3 linked regions of the Oryzias latipes genome follow. The protein of the gene in region 2 interacts with the protein of the main gene of each other region in a biochemical or structural test. Links are inferred from orthologs where the notes say so. Each region holds a gene or a part of one and is shown on either strand. Other genes may lie near its edges. The genes, in order: vcpip1, wac and rnf40.

Region 1 (4,339 bases), on a different chromosome or scaffold from region 2:
TTTTCGTACTCCTTCCCCTCCCAGTAATGTTTGAAGCCACACCCACATTTCCCACCCTGGGAGCGGGTGTTCGTCCTGTCCCCGTCTAGGTAAACCACAGATCCGTTTCCACGGATGTGGCGCACCGAGGTGCCGTGACACCAGTTGCAGGTGTTGAGGCCACTCAGCTTGTAGTCTGGGATCAGGGCGTCCCTCTGGGGGTCGTAGGAGCAGACTATGTTGTTCAGAGGAAAGCTGTAGTTCTTGTCGGGCCGCAGCTGACCGTGCGTGGACTTGGCGAGGTTGTAGAGCTTCCCGCCGGGAACGAGCCACTCCGACGGGACGTGGAGCTCAGAGAGGGCGCCGCAGATCAGACAGCGGTGCAACCGATACTCCAACACTGACTTTTTGGCTGCTTCCGTCACTTCCTCAGGCTGGACGCCGATCACCCCGGTCCTTCTGTAGACATACTGGTGCACGTCAGCCACCAGGGACGGGTGGATGTTGTGCTTCTCCATGAACACCTCCTCCATGGCGTTGACCAGCCTCATCAGGTATTTGTCCTGCAGGCTGCGGTCGCCGCCGATCACACAGCTCCCGTCGGGCTCCAGACGGATGTACTTTTTGATGAGTTCCTGAGGGACGCCCCAGGCCTTCGGCAGCAGGTGAGCAGGCAGTTTGGGTAGCACCGTGTTCTTGATTCCCACCAGAGGGATGTAGTGGTTCCGGCTGGAGCTGCTCCAGGCAATGCATATGGGTTTGTTGGGCTTCCCGTCCTTCCCCCTGCACTGCTCCTCCGGTACCAACCCGGGCAGGAAGGTGGCGGAATAGTCTCCGGAGCTCCTCATCCCAACCAGAGAGTCCAAAAGGATTATGGGCCGATGGAGGACGTTAGCTAAACCAAATATGTGGATGTTGCGCAGGCCCAGAGGCACTCCTTCAGGGGGGATGAAAAGCGGGTCGCACTCATTGATGATGTCCTCCCACTCTGCAGCATCAATAAAATCCTGAAATAAGGCTTTGTAGCGACCCAGGTTCTGTTTGAAGTTCTGCTTGAGGTTCTCTCTCAGAGCATGCCAGAACAGTTCTCTGCCTACCAGCGCTCTGGACACAGCGTGGACCAGGCAGTGGCCGTCTCCATCCACGTGCACCGGGATCAGACACTCCCTGCTGCCGTTTGCCTTCTTCACCTCCTCCAGAGTGTCGTGCAGGTAGATGAGGCTCCCGGACCGGTCCTTCCCGTAGCCCATGGTGGCCACATGCTCCGGCTCGATCAGGAAGGCTCTGTCCCCCAGCAGGGAGCAGTCGAACATCTCCCCCTGGTTCATCTCTCTGAGCAGCTGGGCTTTGCCGGTCTGCTTGTCCATCCCGTACCTGGTGAGGACCGGGGACAGGAGCTTGCAGTGATAGTTGGAGAGCCCCATCACCTTCACCAGCTCGGTCCCCTTCTTCGGGGCCCCGGTGACGCCGAGCAGGGCGTTTCTGAGCAGATTGTGCAGCACGACATCTGGATCGGTCACCTCCTCCACGTTCAGCAGGCTCTTCTGCTCGTGCCGCTGGCCGCACTCCGTGCACTCAATGCTAACAGAACCGAAAGCGGGGAAGAACAGCCGCGCCTGACATTTCGGGTCCGGGCAGGTACCGGACAAGATTCGCTTGTCTTTTTTCTTTGAGGCTGGCAGAAGCGACATTGCGTTTGGTAAAAAGCTTAAACCTCCTTCCAACTTTACAAAAGCATGTTAATCTCACCCCAGAGGCGGACAGAAGAGGTTTGTCGCCGCTAACGCTGCTGTTTGCTAGAATAGCACCAGAACAACACGGAAGCGGCTGTTTTTTCCTTATAGCAACGGTCTGTTGCAAAACGTGAGGACGTCAGACGGTGGCTTGTGGGACTTGTAGTCCAATTCTTATTTTTCCCAAATGTCATACCTAATTAAAAGGTAAATATTTTGTTTTTAAAAAGTAAATATGTATTAATATTATTATATTACAAAGAAAAGGTAAAAAATCACGACTCAGGCTGACAGGTAACCAAATGAATTAGTCAGATCTACAGATTATTACACCATTTACCAGAATGCAACGCGTAAGGCGGCTGTTTTGTTGTGAAAGGAAGTCTGTCAGAATTCTATTGGTAATCGCCGATAGAGTTATATTAAATATTTTAAACCATCCAAAAATAGTTATAGTCGAAGCCCAGACAATTTTTCAGGTTGTGGGTTTGTCTCTGTCACTGGAGGCAGAAAACCTTCCATGTTTAATGCCATTAATTAAAGTACGGAGCTTTGTTTTTAGCCTAGCACTGTGCTAGGTAGGTAATAACCCAGCCAGGTGGTGTACGGAACGACGTGGAATGAGCCACCAAACATGTTGTCAAATCGAGCTTAGCTCCAAAAATGTTTTAATCCAAGTAAAGAAATCCACCAAATTAATACTTAAGTGATAGAATTTTTTTAAATAGATGTGACAACAACGCGTATACAGTAGTATATCCAAGACATGAGCTAAATTTCTAATATTATTGGACGCGTAATAATTCTGTAATTTAAACCATGTTCAGGCCGCTTACAAAACCCGCTGTGATACAAACACAAACAGCAGGTTAGTAATTTAGTTCGTGTGTGTGGTATCGCGTGTAGTTCTTGACCATAATTATTAATGTAAAGCTCGTTGCCGCCCTCTTGTGGTCATAATATTTATGGCAAGTCATAGAAAACTGCCCGTACAAAAATACACCTTTTTTAAATTGTATTTTAAGTTATAATCGGATATATAAACATTTTAATTGAAAACAAGGATTTTGTACCAAAACAGATTTAACCCACTGTTAGGATTTTTAGTTACAAACCTTTTGTGAAAAACAAATCCAAGCCGAAAGAATGGTATGTATGCAACCATCTCTCCAATGTAATGAGAAAAGATATAACAAATCTAGAGTGATAAAAAAAGCTTAAATGACCAATATTGTAAAGAAAGTGAACAAAAGTTAAAAGTTTTAGTCAGCCAATCAATCAAACTTTATTTATATAGCACTTTTCCTATAAAACCATAACGCAAAGGGCTTTACATAAAAATAAATAATATAAGAACAAGCACAAAAATAAAAATAGGGCCCCCCTCCCCATACCTACACACAACCCCACCCCTTTCACAGCTCCCACCCCCTAACTGATGAAGATAGAAAATGAAATAGGTTGAGCACGAAAATATATTGTTTGTTATTGTAAACGCTGTTAATAATTGGAACCTCCCTCTCTGTGAATAACTGCATAGCCAGCCAAATGCAGCATCACAGGCAAAATTTTGCAGGAAGAGGCTGGATGGGATGACGGAATGCAGAATATTTAATGATGGCTGCAGTTACATAAAGCACACTGCTTAGATACTCCCTGTCCCTTTTTTTCATACAAAGCTACCACAGTCATTTAATTTGCAATTACTTTAGATATTTCTGTGTTCTATACTAAGGACAAAATCTTCTACAGCCTTGGCTATCCATCCATTTTACATATGCCTTATGCTAGGGTCACAGGGTACACCCTGCCTCATCAATCCATCAGCGAGCTTTACACAGGAGAAACAACCACGCTTTTATTTACACTTAAGGGAAAATATAGTCACAATTAATCTACAAGATATGTTGTTGGAGTTTGGAGGAAGCCAGAGTACTAGGAGAAAACCCATGTGTGTAGAAAGGTTCCAGCTGGTATTCAGATCAGCGCCTTCTCACTGTAAGATGAGAATGCTAACCACTACACTTATATGCAGATTGGGACAACTGTTTTTTAACTTTTCAATGAAAATACCTGAAGTCATGATTTTTTAAAAATGTGTCTTTCCCGTTTTGGCAACCCAGTCAATTCTTAACAATGGCAAAAGAAAACCTAAGTATGTCCATCCAAACATTCTTTGATTCCTGTATTTGATTTTGAATATCATGTAGTACCACCAACTAACCATAGGATGTCAGTGCTGTCTATTTAATTAACCTATTCGGGAGTGGAGGAACAAACTTTGGCCTTTACTGATTAACTTCTAGTTTTAGACTAGAATGACCCACGGACCGGTACCGGTCCGTGGGTCATTCTCCCTCTGAAATTATAAAAGGTAGGTGCTTCGTATTAAGAAGTCTCCAGCTTGTTCAGAATGCAGCAGCTAGATTGTTAGCAGGAACTAGTAGAAGAGATCACATCACTCCTGTGTTAGTTTCACTCCATTGGCTCCCAGTTGATTCTAGATCAAGTTGAAGATCCTCCTGTTACAGTTTTTCTCAGTCGCTTTAGTACAATTCTCAGATCAGAATTAAAGTTTGCAAATACGTGTGTGCATTTCTCAAAACAATTTGTACAAACAGCAAAAC
Region 2 (3,650 bases):
TCCTCATTCTACAACAGAAGTTTCCGTCTCTTGAGGAAATATGACAAATTTACTGCGTTCTAATTATGCATTTCCATTACAAGCTGAGCGCTTTCTTAAGTGCGCGACACGGCCGCCCACCGGAGGACTTTGTGTTGGGGGGGTTGGGGGATTATTCCTGTTCTCCTTCACTCTGTAATACCAAACACGAACTGTTAAATTTCGATGAATATCACTACATGTTTTGTTTGGGAACTATTTTGTGCAGCACAACGTTTCGTGTCTGTATAAACAAAACCCTAGCCTCCTGCCCTGCGTTCTTCATGGATGTCAGGCTTCATGGCTACCGGAAAGGTGACAAAGTGTCTGCAGTCTCGTTTATTACTGGGCAATATATAATATTCTGAGAAGATGTCTGTACCAGAGAGCACAGGTGAAGCCTCGCATGCAGCTCCAGAGCACTCCGCTGCAGAAGAATCAACACGCACCCCCCAACACACTTGTACGCGGTCCTTCCTCCACACGCAGCACGCTGACACAGACACGCATAGTCATTCTACAGCACCCATATGGTTAGTTCATTAGTTAGATAGGTATCAAAAATAAAAAATCCCACACTGTCACAGCTCTTTTCATTTATACGACAAGAAATCATTATGCAACCTGGCGCTCAGTGTCCACACACCACTAACCCTGCATGTAACCGGTAATCTCTCCTGCTACAACCTACACAGACAAACCAGCACCCACATCATGTGGATTCTCAGATCATAACACAATGAATGAGTTTTACAATAGAGACTGAGATCAAATGCGAAATCTCCGGAAAATTACCAACATGTATTAGCTAAGCAGTTTTCTGAATTTAAATTCTTTAACTGCAGAGAGTCTAGGTGGGAGAAATTACAATCCTTAGTAGAAAATAAATAAACAAAAACATAAAATGTACTGAAATTCAGAATTTCAGAACATATAAAGAGCAGACAAAAGGATTAAAATGAAAAGACAAACGTAGCTGCAGTACCAATTTGTTTTAAGTAGAAGTGCTTCATTTCACCTGTTGATAAAAACACCTGGAAAATGCTAAATGTACTACATACTAGTACCTACTCAATAACAACTAGAGGTACCAGAGGCTAAAAAGTAGTACTATGATGACTTCAATGTAACCAACATTGGAAAAGAGGAGCTAAAAGCATCTATTCTCCTAATTTTGTTGAGACTGGAGTTGGCAGGTTTGTTGGTGTGATCAGATGGTTTTGGATCTGAAACATTCACTACTGATACGTTTTTCTAGCCCAACAAAGAGCTAAAACTATGTTAACTGTAATCTGCCAGTTTCAGTTCTAATAAAATCACTTAAACATATCAGTCACAAAAGAATATAATATATTAGCTCACACTTGCATTTTGTCAAAATAATTTACCAAAACAAAAAAAACTTTTTTATTTGTGAGGTCGTCTGTGAAGTATAGTGGTCCCTCAATATCGCTGTCGATCTTTTGCTGTCTTAACATTTAAGTGCAATTTTGCATGCCTTTTGCTTTTTTTTTTACATTATGTTTCGTGTCCTGATTGGTTGTAAGGCATTCACAGTCAATCTCTGTGCCGTTTCTCTTGTATAGAAAGCCTTCAGCAGATCTTTGGTCTCATTCTACAATCCTGAACTTATTTTTCCTATGAAGGTTTGAACTTTGAGAGTTTAAACGAGAGAAAAGTGTAAAAATGTTCATGTCTGACTGAGAAAAGTGTATAGTGTGTAGTGAGGGGATTTAGCCTTAAATCATTGCACAAATATTAGATTTTGTCTATTATAAGTTATTTTTAGAACGCAGCTCCTGCACCAAAATGAGGGATTACTGTATATAAGTAATTTCAGTGCAATTCCATCAGATAAAACCTAGTTGTAAGGTAGGGGTGCGACAGATCATGGCTGAACCGTAAACCCCAAGGATCACTAGTTTTTAATTTCTTGTTTTCTGGAAGAGATTTGCAATCAGCCCATATTAACAGGTGCTTTAAATCAGGTAATTGATTTATAGACCTATAAGCACCAGAGGCACCACACAACTTGACAGCTAAATAATATCCAGTGACCTGTGAGAAATAATCTACAACTTTGTTATTCAGTGATGAGTAGAATGCTCTTTACACCGAAGACCTGTAATATGATCAAAACATTTGACATGCCTGACAAAATGTTTTATCTGCTAAGCATTAGCCATACTAGCTGCTAGGTTAAAACATAATTAACAGTCTGACCAATAAAACAAAGTAAGTGTGATTTAGTGAGATGAGTCAGAAAAGATCTGTGCAACACTTACTAGGACCAGTAAAGCCAGGGGCTGCTGTTGCTTGCATAGCCTCCCTTCTGTAGTCCCTGTCCTTTGGGAAATTGTTGACAACAGCAGTCTTTGTTGCCTCTTTTTGCCTTTGTTCTCTAAGCGGCAAATACAACAACACTGTTAGAGATCTGTGCTTAACAACACTTGTGCAAATGTACTTTAGTGTGCAAAGCCAAATACTGTTTCATTAGTGGAAAAAAAACCATAAAACTACCTCTCAAGCCATTCCTTGGGCTTCTCCCACTGGGAAACTTCTGTCCTACAGTTGTAATAATATTTCTTTCCAGAGGAACTGATGTGCTCTGACCAGTCATCAGCAGGCTCGAAAGGCTGAGTAGAAGAACACAAACTTAGAAACAAATGGCTTCCTGTCAGACAGACAGGTGTTTTGGTAGAGGTCTGATGCAATAGCCGGCAATCTGTTCTAAAATGCAAAGGAGGATGGGATGGAAGCAGAAGGGGAGAATTAGCTCTCCTATGACAGAAAAGTCCCCTTTAACCCTTCATCGTCAGTGTGAATTTACTTTACATCTACATTTAACATTTTAAAACTGAAGCATTTTTATGTTGTCATTAGTATGACGCTACATTCACACCGAAGGTGATTCATGTGTCAAATCTGTGTCAGGCGCATTTCTTTTGATGAGTGACAAATTTGCCACTGGACCCTTGCCAAAAACTGTGTTCATGAACGTGATGCTCCAGACGCATGTGGGAGGAGCTACTCTCCAAAGTTTTTAACTTCATCGCTACGTGAATGGGATATACATGTCTCTATATCCCATTTAGAGTGCATGGAAGACACGGATGATGTTGGGATCAGGTTCATTTATTTTCCAGATAAAAAAACATTGGTAATCATGTCTCCATTAGGTCATTCAGATTCTCCCAGTACATGAGCTTCCCCCCATCTACTGAAGGAGCGTCGTCTGAAAGACGGCGCTTTCAGCGGTACTTCTGTCTCTCGGTGACCCAGTGTGACGAATTGCTGCCTCACATTAGTCCGAGTAAGGAAAAAAGAAAAATAAGAATAAGAGAATTAGAAAATAAAAGTATGGAAAAAAATATGAAGCTCAGGAGGAGAACAATTCGATTCCCCTTCATGTTGGTTTTGTACTTCACCCCCTGATGACATCATCAAGAAGTCATGGGCAAAAGCTGAGTCCCTAATTGGTTGATGCGAGGCGTCTTTTTTGCCAAAGTATTTGAACTCTCGATGCAACGCCCAAATCATGTAGATGCCACACGCCTAATTGCGCTGCAGGACCTCTGACCACGTCCGTACATTAGTTTAAGATTAAAAATTGGATGCCCCTAACGCGTGAA
Region 3 (4,197 bases), on a different chromosome or scaffold from region 2:
AGAAAGATGTCTGTTCATTATAAAAGACGAATTTATGTTCTTTGCCAGCAGTAACTTCCTCTTTAAACTCTTAAAACACTGAATCAATTTTGACCAAAATTATTCTTATTTAACTCATAAATACAGATCACAACTAAAGCAAATTAGGCTTAAAATCCTTTATGCTGCCCTGGATTTCCCTTTGTCCCACTAGATAATGTGTTATGAGGTATTTTATTTTACTTTGTAAAGTTTTCTCTGTGGATCATAATGACTTCCTGAAAACCTAAAATCTTCAAAATGCATTTAAAAGGGTTTTCTGAGTGGCACATTTCAAAAAGTGTTTTTAATTTGTTCTTGAATTTCTTTATGCTGGACTAATATTTGAACCACTTGACCTCTCAGTCAGCTTCTTTTTAGGTTAATTCTTGATTCAACAGGCCTGGCAGTAATCAGTGCCGGGTGTGGCTAATGAAATTGAACTCAGCTTTTATGATATGGAAATGCGAACAGGTTCTTCTTAACATGGGACATGACAGCTTATGAAGGTAATTTTGTTTCTTCAGCATTTCTGGAAGTTTTGCCAACAGAAAATTACTAACTTAATTATCAAAAATACAACTTTAATTACTTATAAAACCCAGGAAAATGCTAATTGCTATTTTGGAGCATAGTGTATGAATGTGTTTCTAATGAGGAGTTTTGAATTGTTACCTGCTTCCTGAGCTGCTCTGCACATGCTGTCAATGCGGCTGTGCAGTCTGTCGAAGACGCACACCAGCTGGGCGATGGCGTCTTTGCTGAACTGCATGCGGTCCTGGAGATGCAAGGCCAGTTCCTCCTCTGTACTTTGTTCGAGCACAGCCAAAAACCCCTTGGCATTTTCACTCAATGGAGGGGGAGGCGGTGCTGAGTCTGCAAAAAATAAAACCATTTAAGGATAGTCAAGGGACCAAAACAATGGGCTCCTGAATAATTCATCAATATGATCAAACTCAGAAGCTTTAAATTCTGTTCTAAAACATTTTTAAAAAATTTTAAAAAGACAAAATTTATACTCCTGGGACCATTTTGACAATTAAAGATATTGACTGACAATGAACAGCGTAAAATTAAAGTTTTAATGAACTTAGCCCAAAATGCTAACCTGTTTTTGATTCTGGTGCTGGCTCGGTCTGTGTCAATAACTCTTCTGACCCGGCAGGCGGTGGGGGCTGCTGTTCTTCCTGGGTTTTTTCCTGACGCTCCTCGACCTGCTGCTGGTCCATCTGCTCGCTTTCGCTCTGGATTTCAGGCACGGGTGGCGCTGGTCCTTCAGAGCGGGGCGAAGATAGTCTGACACCACTGTCATCAACTGCTGTGGCGTCAGCTACTGGTGCCATGGGAGGAGCCGGAGCAGGCTGTTCAGGCTCAATGCGTTTGCGAAGCAACCTTACGCTCTCTTCCAACTGTAAACCAGAGAAAACGTAGAAGAATCCACTGGATCAATTTAAGGACTATTACTGACAGTGGCATGTTGCTAAGAGCAGAGCTCACTAGTGAGTAATTCCAAAGGATTTAGCTTCTGTCTTAAGCTGGTTTTTGAATGCATTATTTACATTTAAAAGCTTAACACTGCAATAAATAAGGTACCTGTGACCAGTAGCGATTGACAATCAGAAGAGTGGTGTCATCAGTGGCTTGTCTCTTCTCTAACTTTTCAATCTTCTCTCGTAACTCATCCTCCATCGCTTGCCTCTGCTCCAGGCGCTCGCACAGCTTCTTATTTTTAAACTGGATAACCTTCATGTCCATTTCCTCCTGTACATAAGACAGATTTTAGTTTCAGTTTAAAAAAATGGCATAATTAAATCATGTGAAGATTTAAAATTCTAAACACCAAATACACCAAATGACAGACCGTAGAGGAGACTCCAGCAATACGTATTGGCTCAATAAGTGTGGTGGTGGTCTTCTCCTCTTTCTTGCTCTTTTTCTCAGGGGGACCAGGGGGGCTATCCCCTCCTGAGGGACGCTTCCCTCCCCCAGAACCAGACATGTCTGCTCCTGCATGAAATTGAACATAAACATATTTAGTACCAATCTGTCAGAAACCTACATCCTTTTCTCAGCAAATTATGACAACCGGTAAAAGATCACTTTCAAAGAAGGAAAACTGTCTTCCGACTAAGCTACAGAAACAATAACATTAGTATGCCTTCAAACTATCACAAAGTAAAAGCTACAATCAAAATTATATCGACCTCTCTTTTCAAATCAATGTATGTTTTCTAAGCTTGCCAACACTAGCTAAGCTAATGGTTAGCTAAGCTAAGCAGCGCTTCTTCTTTAGCTCATAAAATTACATTGTTTCGGCATTTTCAATTCACTGACCATTCCTACATAAGCTGTGCGTTTAAAATGTCACATTAACTTATATGCACATATTCACAAAGACACACAAATATCTTGGAAATGTTGACACAACAGACCTTAGCAAGAAACGTATCAGGAGGCGTCAGGAAATGCTGTTCTTCTTCGTTGAAACACAAAGACTTGTAGTACTATCGCCACCTAGTGTTCATTTTTTACTTAAAAAAACCCGAAACCCTCACATTGAGCTTCTTGCATCAGACAATATAAAAGCTAACCAAGTAGTTCAAATTGAATTTTTGTCCTCTAATATAGGATTAAGGGAATTAAAGCAGAACAACCAAAGTAACTAGTTGCAAGATTACCTAGATCATTAAAGCTTCTAACGTATAAACATTCATAGAGCTAACGTTGGGGAAACTACTGTCAATTATCTTGCAGGTTTTATTTAGTTAGCAAAAAAAGGCAATAAGGGATGTTTATATAGGAGGCTAATGTGACCATTCAGCTCTATTATTTAACCGTCCTAAACTTCGACATCAACTTAGTCGAAAGCTCAACAATGGTCAAAGCCAAAATCTCTGAAATCAATCCAGTAATTAATCAATTAATCAAAAGTATTTTTTTCACAGAAAAACTTTCAGATTAAGGAAGGAAAATTAATGTAAAAGTGATGCTGTTTGGCAAATTCATATGTAAATATGTGTCCATATGTTTAAATAAAGGTATAGATGACAACAAAGGGAGTGAAAATTACTTTTAAGTTACCAAGTAGAATTTGTGTTGTTGTTGTTTATGTTTACTATATTTCTTCTTCAAATTCGTGACTGAGTATGTTGTTTAATGCAAACAAAACTGTCCAATATTCTGTTATGTGCTCTTAATTTTTTAATCTGTCCTAAAAAAAAACTTTATTTTATTCAACTTTTTTTAAACCTGGAAACTCACACAAAGTGTAATATAAACCAGTGCAACATATTACTACATTCTTTTTTTAAACATACTTAAAAATGTAATAAATAAACATTTATTGTATGGTTATTGTTGTTGTGAATTCTGGACACAAACGTCCTGCGAGACTCCCGCCTCAAGGGGGCAGTGCCGCCACAGCATCAAACCGGTCTCAAACGATTTTGAAGGAATTTGACCAGAATGTAAACATTGCTCTAACCGGAGACAACTTCTTAAGCATATCTGGAGTGCCGTCACGACTCGGTAAAACCCAGTTATGGCTTCGACATAAATCCCCAGAGCGGAGGGTATCAGTTCGGCTGATATTCGCGGTCCTTTTCTTGCAGTTTTTGGGCACACTTGCTTGGTGAGTAGCTTCCTGGTCGGTCAGTGAACCTGCTCACAGGACAAGGCCAAATCAAAGACGCTCTACCCTGACTGACAAGTCCATGCTGTACATTGATATTATCACAACAAGTACATTTTTAAAATAGGTTTATGTCGAGCAATTGGGGTGTTTAAATGTTTACGAAGTCCCAACAAAACTTCCTTCCAAGAGTTAGCTAAAGTCGTCCCCGTCGGGTGCGCGTGTGAGTAAAATTTGATGCCGTTACACAGATCCATCATGACCAAGGACATCGTTGTTGGAGACGAGCTGCCAGACTGGGTGGGAGCGAAGGAATTTTACCAGAAATATGACCCGAAGGAGGTTATTGGCAGGTGAGCTGAAAGGAAAGAACAGGATGTTCTCTGACGCGCTCCGTCCCGCTTGCCGCTAATGATGGAGTCGTGGTGCGTTCACGTGCGTCTGTCCCCTCTCAGGGGGGTGAGCAGTGTGGTCCGCCGGTGTGTGCACAGGCACACGGGGCAGGAGCTGGCCGTGAAAATCATAGAGATCACCGCCGAGAAGATGAC

The links.
Region 1: the proteins of wac (region 2) and vcpip1 form a complex in vitro, tested with the Homo sapiens proteins (2 studies listed by BioGRID). The link is inferred for Oryzias latipes from reciprocal best matches to the Homo sapiens genes WAC and VCPIP1.
Region 3: the proteins of wac (region 2) and rnf40 form a complex in vitro, tested with the Homo sapiens proteins (2 studies listed by BioGRID). The link is inferred for Oryzias latipes from reciprocal best matches to the Homo sapiens genes WAC and RNF40.

The regions. Positions count from the first base shown.
Region 1 is NC_019875.2:10,353,687-10,358,025, forward strand, and holds the start of vcpip1 (deubiquitinating protein VCIP135), read right to left. Parts: upstream 2,811-4,339; 5' UTR 1,671-2,810; coding exon 1-1,670. UniProt on the Homo sapiens protein: Deubiquitinating enzyme involved in DNA repair and reassembly of the Golgi apparatus and the endoplasmic reticulum following mitosis. Necessary for VCP-mediated reassembly of Golgi stacks after mitosis.
Region 2 is NC_019878.2:7,928,914-7,932,563, forward strand, and holds part of wac (WW domain-containing adapter protein with coiled-coil), read right to left. Parts: intron 2,655-3,650; coding exon 2,539-2,654; intron 2,420-2,538; coding exon 2,304-2,419; intron 1-2,303.
Region 3 is NC_019877.2:9,330,734-9,334,930, reverse strand, and holds the start of rnf40 (E3 ubiquitin-protein ligase BRE1B), read right to left. Parts: upstream 2,934-4,197; 5' UTR 2,451-2,933; intron 2,397-2,450; exon of another isoform or gene 2,026-2,396; 5' UTR 2,018-2,025; coding exon 1,880-2,017; intron 1,780-1,879; coding exon 1,612-1,779; exon of another isoform or gene 1,428-1,611; coding exon 1,127-1,427; intron 895-1,126; coding exon 694-894; intron 528-693; exon of another isoform or gene 1-527. Other genes in the region: phkg2 (phosphorylase b kinase gamma catalytic chain, liver/testis isoform), read left to right, coding at 3,908-4,002, 4,105-4,197.